Schizosaccharomyces pombe: one gene and its partner. The protein of the gene in region 2 interacts with the protein of the main gene of each other region in a biochemical or structural test. Each region holds a gene or a part of one and is shown on either strand. Other genes may lie near its edges.

Region 1 (3,819 bases), 760 kb from region 2:
GTTTGAATAACTATTTGCTATCGATTCAGAAACCGAAAACTTGTTGGAAGATGAGGAAGACTCTTTACTTTTCTTCAAAAAAGACGGTTCTGGTACCGAAGCTGTAGCATTCGTTTGAGATTTTTCAAAACCCTTCATTGCCGTAAGGTAGGGTGGAATAACAAATACATTATTAGCATCGAGTGGCACGCCTATTCAGCAAAATATATTAGCACAATTATAGAAATAAACGAAAATAAGTATTTTTTTTTGACAAAAGTGAATTTACTAATTCACAACAAAACATCTGTCACATACCTATTGCAGTTAAATTCTGGAAAGCAGAGAAATTATATGGGTTAATGGAGACAGCTTCTACAAAACAATCTGTAGCTTTTTTGAGGAACCCTGCCTTTTTATACATAGTACCCAAAACATCAAGCATGCAAGAGGCATCTGGATGTCCACGACTGCTAATTGAGTCATTTACTAGATAACTTAGTTAGAGGTTTCGCGAAATAAATCACCACATACTGTTTGGCTGAATGGAGCGCCAATTCGATCGACAGGCCTCCACAGCACTTATTCCTTGTTTATATCTGCCTAAAATAAGGCTGGTCCTTGCAAATAAGTATGTGCAAGGAACATGACTAATTACTCTATCTAATAAGTCGTATACAATATTGTAATCGAGGTTTAGGAAATGCGAATATGCCAAAAGATACAAACTCTCGTTTGAATCTTCAATTGCATGTAAACGTTCTGAATAAAAAATTGAATTATCATAATTCTGATTATCAATGCAATACCATATTAAACATTTCAATCGATCTGTCATGACAAATCTATTAAAGTTTTGGAAACGATGGGAGTTAATGTCAACAAAAACATGTGGGTACAAACAGGTGGTTGTTATTGTTTGAGCTCCATCGTTAAGATATGTTAAATCTTATAAAGCAATGTAGCATTTTAGTAAAAAAAACATATAAACAAAAATAGGTAAATCATCTGGATGGTGTATAGAGTTGTGTAAACTCTGATAAATCCAAAAAGAGTTTGGGTAAATTATCAGAGAATAAAAAAACACTACTAATGCAACTCGATCCAAGCATTAAGGGAGACAGGCAAAGGAGGCATCACGGTCTAAAACAATGCGATGATACATGTTAATAAAAAAAAATTACAAGTCGTTCAATGTCTCCCAATTTAGATCCATTATTACGCAGTCTTGTGGAAAGGCGACACTGACGTAAAAAGTACTAGAGTGAAGTATTAGTTTATGAATTTCCAAGTCCCAAGAATATCCTGAATACACTGCAGTTGCTGCTCTTCTTAAAGACACTTCCTCGGAATTTAACAGCTCATTTAATTTATGAAATGTTACCACAATATCCAAAGGGTTTCCACTTAATCCGATACCGAGTGCTTTCAAAATCGCTTCTTTGCAAGTCCAGAGCAAAAAAAAAACATCAATACTAGAAATTGAACTTTTAATCAACTTCCATTCGCAAGGAGTAAATACACTCATGAAATCTTCCATCCATGATGCTTCAAAAGCTAACGGTTTACATTCGACGATGTCAACTCCAATATTGATCGGTCGCATTCCTGAAGGATCTGATGGAAGCCATGCTCCTACTACAATTACGATTCCCCCATAGTGGGATACATTAAAGTCAAATATAATAGGAGGACAGTGTGCTGATTGGCAATACGGTCTCCCGGCTTTTGTGACAGAAATTTGTACTTCATTTGGTGAACATTCGAGAGCCGTGGAGACTAAGTGCCTTTTAATAAGTATAGAAGCCAATGCCATTTTAGCATCCATGTCGAAATAGTACCTCTCAATTTGTTGTCGCTCAGAATCGCTCAGTTTTTTAAAACTGGGTATCCTCTAACGTATTAGAAAAATTGTTTAGATAAAACTAAAAACATACAGTTCTTTCAAAAGGCCATGCTTCTTGAGTATCTATTAATAACCTATATACTTTTTGTTTCATATATTGCTATTTAAATCGAATGAAATACTCTTCAATGAGAAACTACAATAAACAATGCCAGAATTTCCAGGAAACACAAAAACAAGAATCACTCATAAACTCGAAACCAACCAGAAGAAGAGTATAATTTCGTTAGAAGGCAATCAAGATAATTTCTACCAATAAATAGTAACATGAATTATGAAGCGTGACATTAACGCAAGTCGACAGTACTTTCCGAAAAAATATATTTTTTGTTCTACCTTGGAGAACAGCTTTTCTTTAATTTGCGAATATCTATTAACAGTCATAAAACGTGTTTATCGCAGAAGATTTAATTTCGTTAAATTTACTGATAGAACGTAAGCGGCACAATTTGAAGAGTTTGCTGCTTCGTTCTATTGCTTCTCTTGACCACCACCACTAACCCAACCACTTCAGTTGAAAATTTATTATCAACTCATCTGGAGGGTATTTTAATATTTAACGGAATACAGAACGTTACATTTGTTTGTCTTGTTCCGTTCCAATAATAATCTATAATTGGTGTTCTTTCTTTCAGTAGAAATAGGAAGAAAAGAACTCGGTTGTTGTATATAAAACAAACGAACTAATTTAAGGTTTTAATATTCGGTGGTCTCTTCAGTTTTATTACTTTGAATAATTGTAGATAAACGAAGAGTATAATGTCTTCAAAACCACCGTCAAATACTCCAAAGTTTAGTTATGCTCGTGCCTTGGCCAGCAGTCAATCCAATAAAAGCAATAGCACTAAAGCTTCAGAAAATAATACTGCAACTGCTGAAAAGCAGGCAGTAAAGCCTTCAGGGGTGGAGCCAACGAATACCTCTCGTGCTAATGCCCAAAAGAAAACAGAGTCCACTGGAAAGATTACTTCAGAGGCTGACACTGAAAAGTACAACTCAAGCAAATCTCCTGTCAACAAGGAAGGATCGGTGGAAAAAAAATCTTCTGAAAAATCTTCAACCAATAATAAGCCATGGCGCGGCGATAATACTTCAAAACCATCGGCCAATAGCTCTGCTGAACGAACGAGCTCACAGCATCAGAAGCCTGAAACTTCATCCCAAATTGGTAAAGACAATGCAGCTCCCGTGGAAAATGTAAATGAGAAATCTACCTCCCAAGAAACAGCACCTCCTGTATCCACTGTGCCAATTCAGTTTGGTTCGATTACCAGAAATGCGGCTATCCCTTCAAAACCAAAGGTTTCTGGTAACATGCAAAATAAGAGTGGCGTGTCTTCTTATAGTTCCAAAAGCCAGTCTGTTAACTCCTCGGTTACATCCAATCCTCCTCATACAGAAGAACCTGTTGCTGCTAAGCCGGAGGCTTCTTCAACCGCCACTAAAGGACCTCGTCCTACCACGAGTGCATCCAACACCAATACCTCTCCTGCTAATGGCGCACCGACTAATAAACCTTCAACCGATATCAATACCACTGATCCCGCCACCCAAACTACCCAAGTTTCAGCGTCCAACTCTCCTGCATTGTCAGGAAGTAGTACACCATCAAACACATCTTCTAGATCTAATCGTCAAAATCACGGAAACTTTTCCGAAAAGCGGCACTACGACCGTTACGGAAATTCTCATCCTTCTTACAATAAATATTCTCATTATCAGCATGGTTTTAATTATAATAACTCGGGAAATAATAGGAATGAGTCAGGGCATCCTCGTTTTCGAAACTCTAGGAGAAACTATAACAATCAAGGTGCCTATCCTACGTATATGTCTAATGGACGTAGTGCCAATCAAAGCCCTCGGAACAATCCCCAAAACGTAAACAATGGTAGTACACCAATTCAAATTCCAGTTTCTTTACAGACTCCTTA
Region 2 (7,110 bases):
CATTCATAATACTACACTTTCTTTGAACTCTACGCTGAATACGTTTATGAATGAACTGAATTCGTCAATGACAAGTGCGTTTGGAGACACCTTTCTTGCAAGTACCGTACAAAATGTTATGAATTGCTTGCTTTACAGAAAAATTGAGAATTTTGAAGAAGGTTTGTTATACTAGTCTTTCAAATTTAATCTAACCAATAGTTTTGACTTGGGTTTATAACAAATCCCATATTGAATTACCTCTTTTACCTACTGATATTTTAAGCAAATCTATAGATAACCAAACTATCTATTCTTCTTTATATTCTTCACTAAATTCATCAAACAGCACAGTGAGTTTCTCTGGTATCTTTGATAGAGTTGAAAAGTCAGTAATAAGTGAGCTAAATTTTTCTTTCCTATTTTTTTTGCTTTGGTTATTGATTTGTGCATTCGGCTTAATTGGTGTTTTATCATCTTGGCTCAAATCATTATTCCTTAGCCTTCTAGATTTAGTTATTCCAAATCCAAAGGAGAACATTACTTTACCAGTACAATCGTTAGCTTTTCCTGTTACGAAGTCGTGTAGGCCTCCTCCTATTCCTCCCCGAGAATCGCACGTTTATGATTTCCAAAATTTTCAATATGAAGAAGATGACTGCATAGACTATAAAAGGTCCTTGGGTTTAATAAGCCTATCTAGTGACCTTGCTATTGACATTCCCATCTCACCGGCAATTATTTCAGATATACAATTTAACTCAATCACAACAGAAAGTGAAGAGACAACATATTTATTGAAAGAAAAACAGGATAGATATTAGAAGTCTACATAGATTCTAAATTTTTCATTTTGGATAATTTAACTGCTTAATAAATCTAATGAGTTGGAGCGCCTCCACGACCACCAGCCGATGCAAGCTTCTCCAAAGTAGCTTCATTTATTTTGACTTCAGGAAGCTTTTTACCTTCTAAAGTAGGTTTTGGCAAAAATCCAATAGCTACCAGATATGACAAATATAAGCCCATCTCATGTTCCAAAATTGCAGCTCCATTAGAAACATCCACGTTAGTCCAAGATGCATCACGTTTCAAGATTTCACGTGTGTTTGTATCATCTAATTCAGGAGCTTTTGTATTAGCAGGAAGATTATCTAACACAAAGTGAAGTAAGGGATACAAAGCACTATCATGAGACTCATTAATGACAAAGCGCTCCAAAGCAATACGCCAATTGACGTATTCGGAAAGCTTGGTATTGAAGCCAAAAGTGGAAAGAGTTCCTAGGAATTGGTTGAAACGAAGTCGGGGATGACTAGTTACGTGAGCAACAATTACTCCTTGTTCGGGATGGAAAGCACTGGCAGTTACCACGCGAGCAACGTGATCGGCAGGAACCATATTTACAGTATTATTGATGTTCGGGTACAGACCCAATTCAATGCACCCTTTGACCATTCGAACCAAAAAGTCGTCGGTATTAATAGCACCAGACTTGGAGTCGCCTAAAATGTATCCAGGACGCACAACAACACCACGAAGGCCACGTAATCCCGCTTGCCTTACTAAATATTCAGATACCCATTTGCTTTGTCCGTAACCGGTATGCAAATCTTTCGAAGAACCTTGCAAAGGATCGGATTCTGGGATTCCATTTCCTCCCTTTGAAGTAATTTCGTTCGAAAGGTTAACGTAATACTCAGTATCAACAGTTGATGTGGATGAAACAAAACTCAAGGATTTACCTTTTCCTAAAGAGCAAAGTTTTAATGCAGTAATTGTACCCATAACATTAGGACCTCTGAGTTTAGAATATGGATAAACCCAATGTACAAGGGCACCATTATGAATAACATAATCGACGACTTCAGTAAGCTTGTTCCATTTCCTTTCTTCTATACCCCAGTTTTCGAGAGCAAGATCACCATTGACAACAGAAATTTTTTGGGCCCATGATTCATCCCATACACCATACGCGGTACAACTGTCTTTAAGACGTTTTAGACCATGTTCTTCCGATGAGGCGCGGACTAAGGCAATGACTTTCAAGTTAGAGCTTCTGGTCATAAGGTCTCTTAATATAAAGACACCAAGGTAGCCGTTAGCACCAGTTAAGAAAACGGTTTTTGGCTCATCAATACCCAAGTCTTTAGAGGTTGGAAATTCTTTAGGAATTAAATCTACTAAATCAAGTGCATCTTTACCATATTCAATTTCAGGTTCTCTAGTCTCTTCTTTGCCTATATCCATCACGCTAATCATCTCACCCGATTTCATTCTTTCAATCTCTTTGGCCAAACCTTCAATAGTAGGTTCACTGAAAACTAAACCTAAAGGTACATTCACAGCAAATTTTTTGCGAAGTTCAAAAATTAAGCGAGTAGCTAAAATAGAATGTCCTCCAATATCAAAGAAACTTGCTTTTTTGTTGACATCAGTAGCGTGTGGAATGATACGCAACCAGATATCACGTATATCCCTTTCAGTGGCTGTAAGAGTTTCATCAACTCCATGTTTAGAATGTGAACGAGATGCGGCAGCAAGTTGTGATGTGTCTGGGAAAGGCAGAGCAGGTTTATCTATCTTTCCATTAGGATTGAGAGGCATTTTATGAAGGGGAACAATTACAGAAGGAATAGCATAACTAGGAAGTTTAGTCTTAAGATATTCCCGTATATCATGTATAAGCTTCCTGTACTTCTTCAAACCATTGACGACAATATCTTCCGACTCAGTAGCGCTATCAAAGTCATCTTTATTTAAACCTTGAGGTACAATGTATGCAACTAGCGTGGGTTCTTCATCCTTATCACGTCGAACAAGGGTAATATTTTCACGGACATTAGGATGACGAGAAAGATGGGTATTAATTTCACCTAACTCAATTCGGAAACCACGAATTTTAATTTGATCGTCGGCACGACCGCTACATTCTACATTACCAGTTGGGAGATAGCGGCCCAAGTCACCAGAACGATACATACGATCGCGTATTCCGAACCAATAAGGTTTCCAGGGCGCATTTTCTGGAGTTCGGTCTACAAACTTGGAGGGATCAGCAAACCAACTCTTTAAGAATTTTTTGCTAGTCAATTCATCATTTCCAAGGTAGCCCTCAGCCAATCCACCAGCACGAAGATATATTTCACCAACTTCTCCGATACCGCATATCTTGTTAGTATCAAAACGATTGATCACCAAAAGTTGGACATTCTTCATGCCACGTCCGGCTGGAATGACATCTTTTTGCGATTCCAAAAATGTTTGATCTTGAGACCGCGCAGGTACTACAAAGTACGAAACTGAACGCTGAGTCTCTGTCGTTCCATACATGTTAACAACGTTAACGTTGTTAGCAAGGACTTGTAAGCGAAGACAATCACGTTTCGTCAAAATATCACCTACAAAAAATGCATGGTGTAATGAAGGAATTGGCTCATCAGCCTGAGCAGCTAACAGTTGACCCATAGCTGGGGTGAGATGAGTTACAGTAACCTTATACTTGTTAGCCCATTGGGCTAATTGACCAGGGGTGCCAATGTCTTCAGCAGTGGGTACGATTAAGGATGCGCCAAGGAAAAGTGGTGTGAAAATATCTCTTTGAATAGGATCATGAGCAATTCCACTTAACATCGTAAACCGGTCTGATTCAGATAAATTAAATTCCTGAGCCATCCAATCAAAATAGTAAGCAAGACTGAAATGTCTACCTTTTACACCTTTAGGAATTCCTTCACTTCCGCTAGTAAAACTAAGTGTGGGAGTACTATCAGGGCCTACAACAACGCCAGTTTGTTCGGACTTCAAGTGTAAAACGTGTTGCAAGATATCGTCAGCTCCTTTTGAGACTGATCCTCCCGTTAAAGAACCATCTTTAGCAAGTTTTAAAGCTGGTACATAAGTTTTTAGTTCAAGGCTTTTCTCAACATACTCTACGACTGTGGGAGACAAAACACCTGCATCTTCCAAAACAACTAAGGCTCTGGGCTTAGCAACGCTCAGATATATAATCTGACGAGCAGGTGGATATGCTGGATCGATAACTGAGAATGTGGCACCAGCTTTAAGTACACCCATGACCGCGACAACTAAATCCACACCTCGATAAGCATAAACCATAACTACATCACCCCTCTCAATTCCATTCTTTACGAGATGGTGAGCCAGGATGTTAGAAGACTCGTCGATTTGTCGATACGTGTAACTAGTGACAGGAGCATCAATTGTGACCGAAGGAGTGACTACTATGCATTCTCTATCAGGGAATTTAGCAGCGTTGGATGCGAAAATATCTTGAATGGCTCCACGATAACCACTCCAATCAAGATCAACAGTTGGATCTGGAAGAACATTCATTTGGGTAGGTGTCATTAGGTCCAGAGCACCGATAGGACCTGTAACATCTTTGGAAGCTGAAACCACTAACTTTAATAGCTGATCAGCCACAATATTAACCCTACTCTCAGAAAACAACAACTGATTATAGATTAATTTCAATTGTAAATCGGGGAAAGTAAATTGGGAGCGTAAAGAAGTTAATTGATCAGAAGGTTTTTTTACCGAAACCAGAACAGTCAAATCCACATCTAATCCCGTGGTAGAAAGAAAGTTTTCAGAAGGAGCGTCTGGAGCATTGTAAAAACGAAGATGAACAAGAGTTTTACGAGGGTCATCTTTCTTAGAAAGTTTAGCGTTCAAAAAATTAATTAAATCAGAAAAATCTACAGCATCAGAGGAGCCTTCCTTTTCCAGATCGCACACTTTGGCTAAAAGGTCAAGAAAAGAATCGCTTGGTTGAATGAAAGTTCTCAAAACGAATGGAATTGCATTCTCAGAACTAGTACCGATGCTAATGTCCTCATCTCCAGTCATGCGACTAACGAGGATTATAAAAATCGTCAAAAGAATATTGAAAGGAGTTACTAATATTCCTTTAGCTTGAGCAGCAACATAAACCTTAATAAGAGCTGTTTTTGCATCCTCAGGAAGTGTTCGTTCAAACACGGCTTCAACGAGTCTGCTAGGCACGGGACGACTATAATCTGTTGGAAGATGAGAAATTGTTTGACTCTTAAGTCTCTCAGACCATCGTTCAAGACGCTGATTGTACTCAGTATCACTTGGAGCCGTCTGGCTCATTTTGAAAGTATGATATGTTGTTGGTAACGGAGAGTGTCAAATGTTCGAACTGCCTAAAACCTTCGTTGTAGATGATAAATTGATAATCTTCATTCACAAACAAAATCCAAAACATATGTTTAATATACTCCAATAATGAAATTGTTTTTGTTATATCATTTCAAATTAGTGTTTAAGTTATTTATCGTACATATTTTGTAAATTCAAATGTACTGCTTATTATTGCAATTATTAAACTATTGTGCAAAATAATAATAATAATTTAATTTTATAATAAACATTTGTACAAAGTGTCATATCACAAAGTTAGTCTTCAATTTTATTTCTTCGATATTTGTATTTATTATCAACAACCCTACGTGTCAGTAAGCTTGATGTGCAAAGCCAGTATTGTAGATGACTCAATAAATCAAATGTGGTATAGAATTGTATATACTGATACATTTCACTTTAAATTGATTATTGGCAACAAGCATTTTTGCTAAAATGCTTAGCGTTGAGCCACATGTTTAAATACGCCTTCTAAAACCAAAAACACGCTAGAGCAGAGTATATACATAACATGTCCAAACAGCTCTAATTTACTATAAAAATTTATTGTATTATTATAATAATACTGTACCGGTACAATATATGTGTATTGTTACTTAATTGTGTTTATAGTGGTGACTGCTTTTTCTTCCAAAGTTTGTTGTGCTGTCTTTCTCAATTACTTTCCTGAATCAGAACCACATTTTTCACAATGGCACGTAGACCTGCTCGCTGCTATCGTTATTGTAAGAATAAGCCTTACCCCAAGTCTCGTTACAACCGTGCCGTTCCCGATTCCAAGATTCGTATTTTCGACTTGGGTCGTAAGCGTGCTGGTGTTGACGAGTTCCCTCTTTGCATCCACTTGGTCTCTAACGAATACGAGCAAATCACCTCAGAAGCTCTTGAAGCTGCTCGTATCTGTGCCAACAAGTACTTGGTCAAGATTGGTGGTAAGGATAGTTTCCACCTTCGTGTCCGTGCACACCCCTTCCATGTTGTTCGTATCAACAAAATGCTTTCATGTGCCGGTGCCGATAGATTGCAAACCGGTATGCGTCACGCCTTTGGTAAGCCCAATGGTTTGGTCGCCCGTGTAAACATCGGTCAAGTTTTGATGTCTGTCCGTACCAAGGATTCTAGCCGTGCTACTGCCATTGAAGCCCTTCGCCGTTGTCAATACAAGTTCCCCGGTCAACAGAGAATCATTGTCTCTAAGAAATGGGGTTTCTCTCAATATGCTCGTGATGAGTACATTGAAAAGCGCAGCCGTGGTGAAATTATTCCCGACGGTTGCTACGCCAAGTTCTTGAATAAGCGTGGTAGCCTCCAAGAGAAGTTGGACCTCTTCCCTGAAGCTTCATTCAACCTTGCTTAAAAAGTTTAATAAAATTTTTGTGAAACTTTTCACTTTGTATAGAACTGTTCAAACAGTTTGGTGTTGGATGAATCGGTAAATTGACTGAGGTATTGCATTTCAGGAAGTTGTATTTTTTTGTTGTTGATTGTTTATCATCCCTCTATTTCAAGTAAGTCGATTTTAACCAGCACTTGTAGAGATAATAGCCAAATAATATCAACTTGGGGGTAACAATTTAACCGACTACCAAGTTGAAATAGGCAATTTTTAAAACGACCAGCAACTCAAGCATCCCATGTAGTTAATTGTGGGGCAAATTTTAGCTATTAAGACTAAATTTTTTTCTCAACAAATCTATTACTTGGCGTTAAAACTCCGCATCTACTTCCACGGAGTTATTTCGGCCAAAGGACGCATATTCGCTGGGTTAAAGTACGCAAAATGACTTTTTTTATGAAAAAATTTTATGGAATTGTCAATTTTGTCTTTTTAAATCGAGATGAAAAGGTGTTTTATTATGATTATCCCTGATTTCTTTGCTTATTTTCGATCCAAACACTGGTTTTGCTCAGTACCATTATTTACAACTTTTGGTGTACAGG

The links.
Region 1: the proteins of lys1 (region 2) and lys7 form a complex in vitro, tested with the Schizosaccharomyces pombe proteins (one study listed by BioGRID).

The regions. Positions count from the first base shown.
Region 1 is NC_003424.3:4,495,130-4,498,948, reverse strand, and holds lys7 (alpha-aminoadipate reductase phosphopantetheinyl transferase Lys7), read right to left. Parts: upstream 2,225-3,819; 5' UTR 1,980-2,224; coding exon 1,917-1,979; intron 1,881-1,916; exon of another isoform or gene 1,874-1,880; coding exon 1,160-1,873; 3' UTR 818-1,159; downstream 1-817. Other genes in the region: nuc2 (anaphase-promoting complex TPR lobe subcomplex subunit Apc3), read right to left, coding at 1-191, 298-468, 514-817; tif471 (translation initiation factor eIF4G), read left to right, coding at 2,645-3,819. UniProt on the Schizosaccharomyces pombe protein: Catalyzes the transfer of a 4'-phosphopantetheine moiety from coenzyme A to a serine residue of acceptor proteins, such as alpha-aminoadipate reductase. Necessary for alpha-aminoadipate reductase activity.
Region 2 is NC_003424.3:3,738,304-3,745,413, forward strand, and holds lys1 (aminoadipate-semialdehyde dehydrogenase), read right to left. Parts: upstream 5,147-7,110; 5' UTR 5,119-5,146; coding exon 859-5,118; 3' UTR 804-858; downstream 1-803. Other genes in the region: conjugation protein Prm1, read left to right, coding at 1-161, 202-803; rpl1002 (60S ribosomal protein L10), read left to right, coding at 5,861-6,526. UniProt on the Schizosaccharomyces pombe protein: Catalyzes the activation of alpha-aminoadipate by ATP-dependent adenylation and the reduction of activated alpha-aminoadipate by NADPH.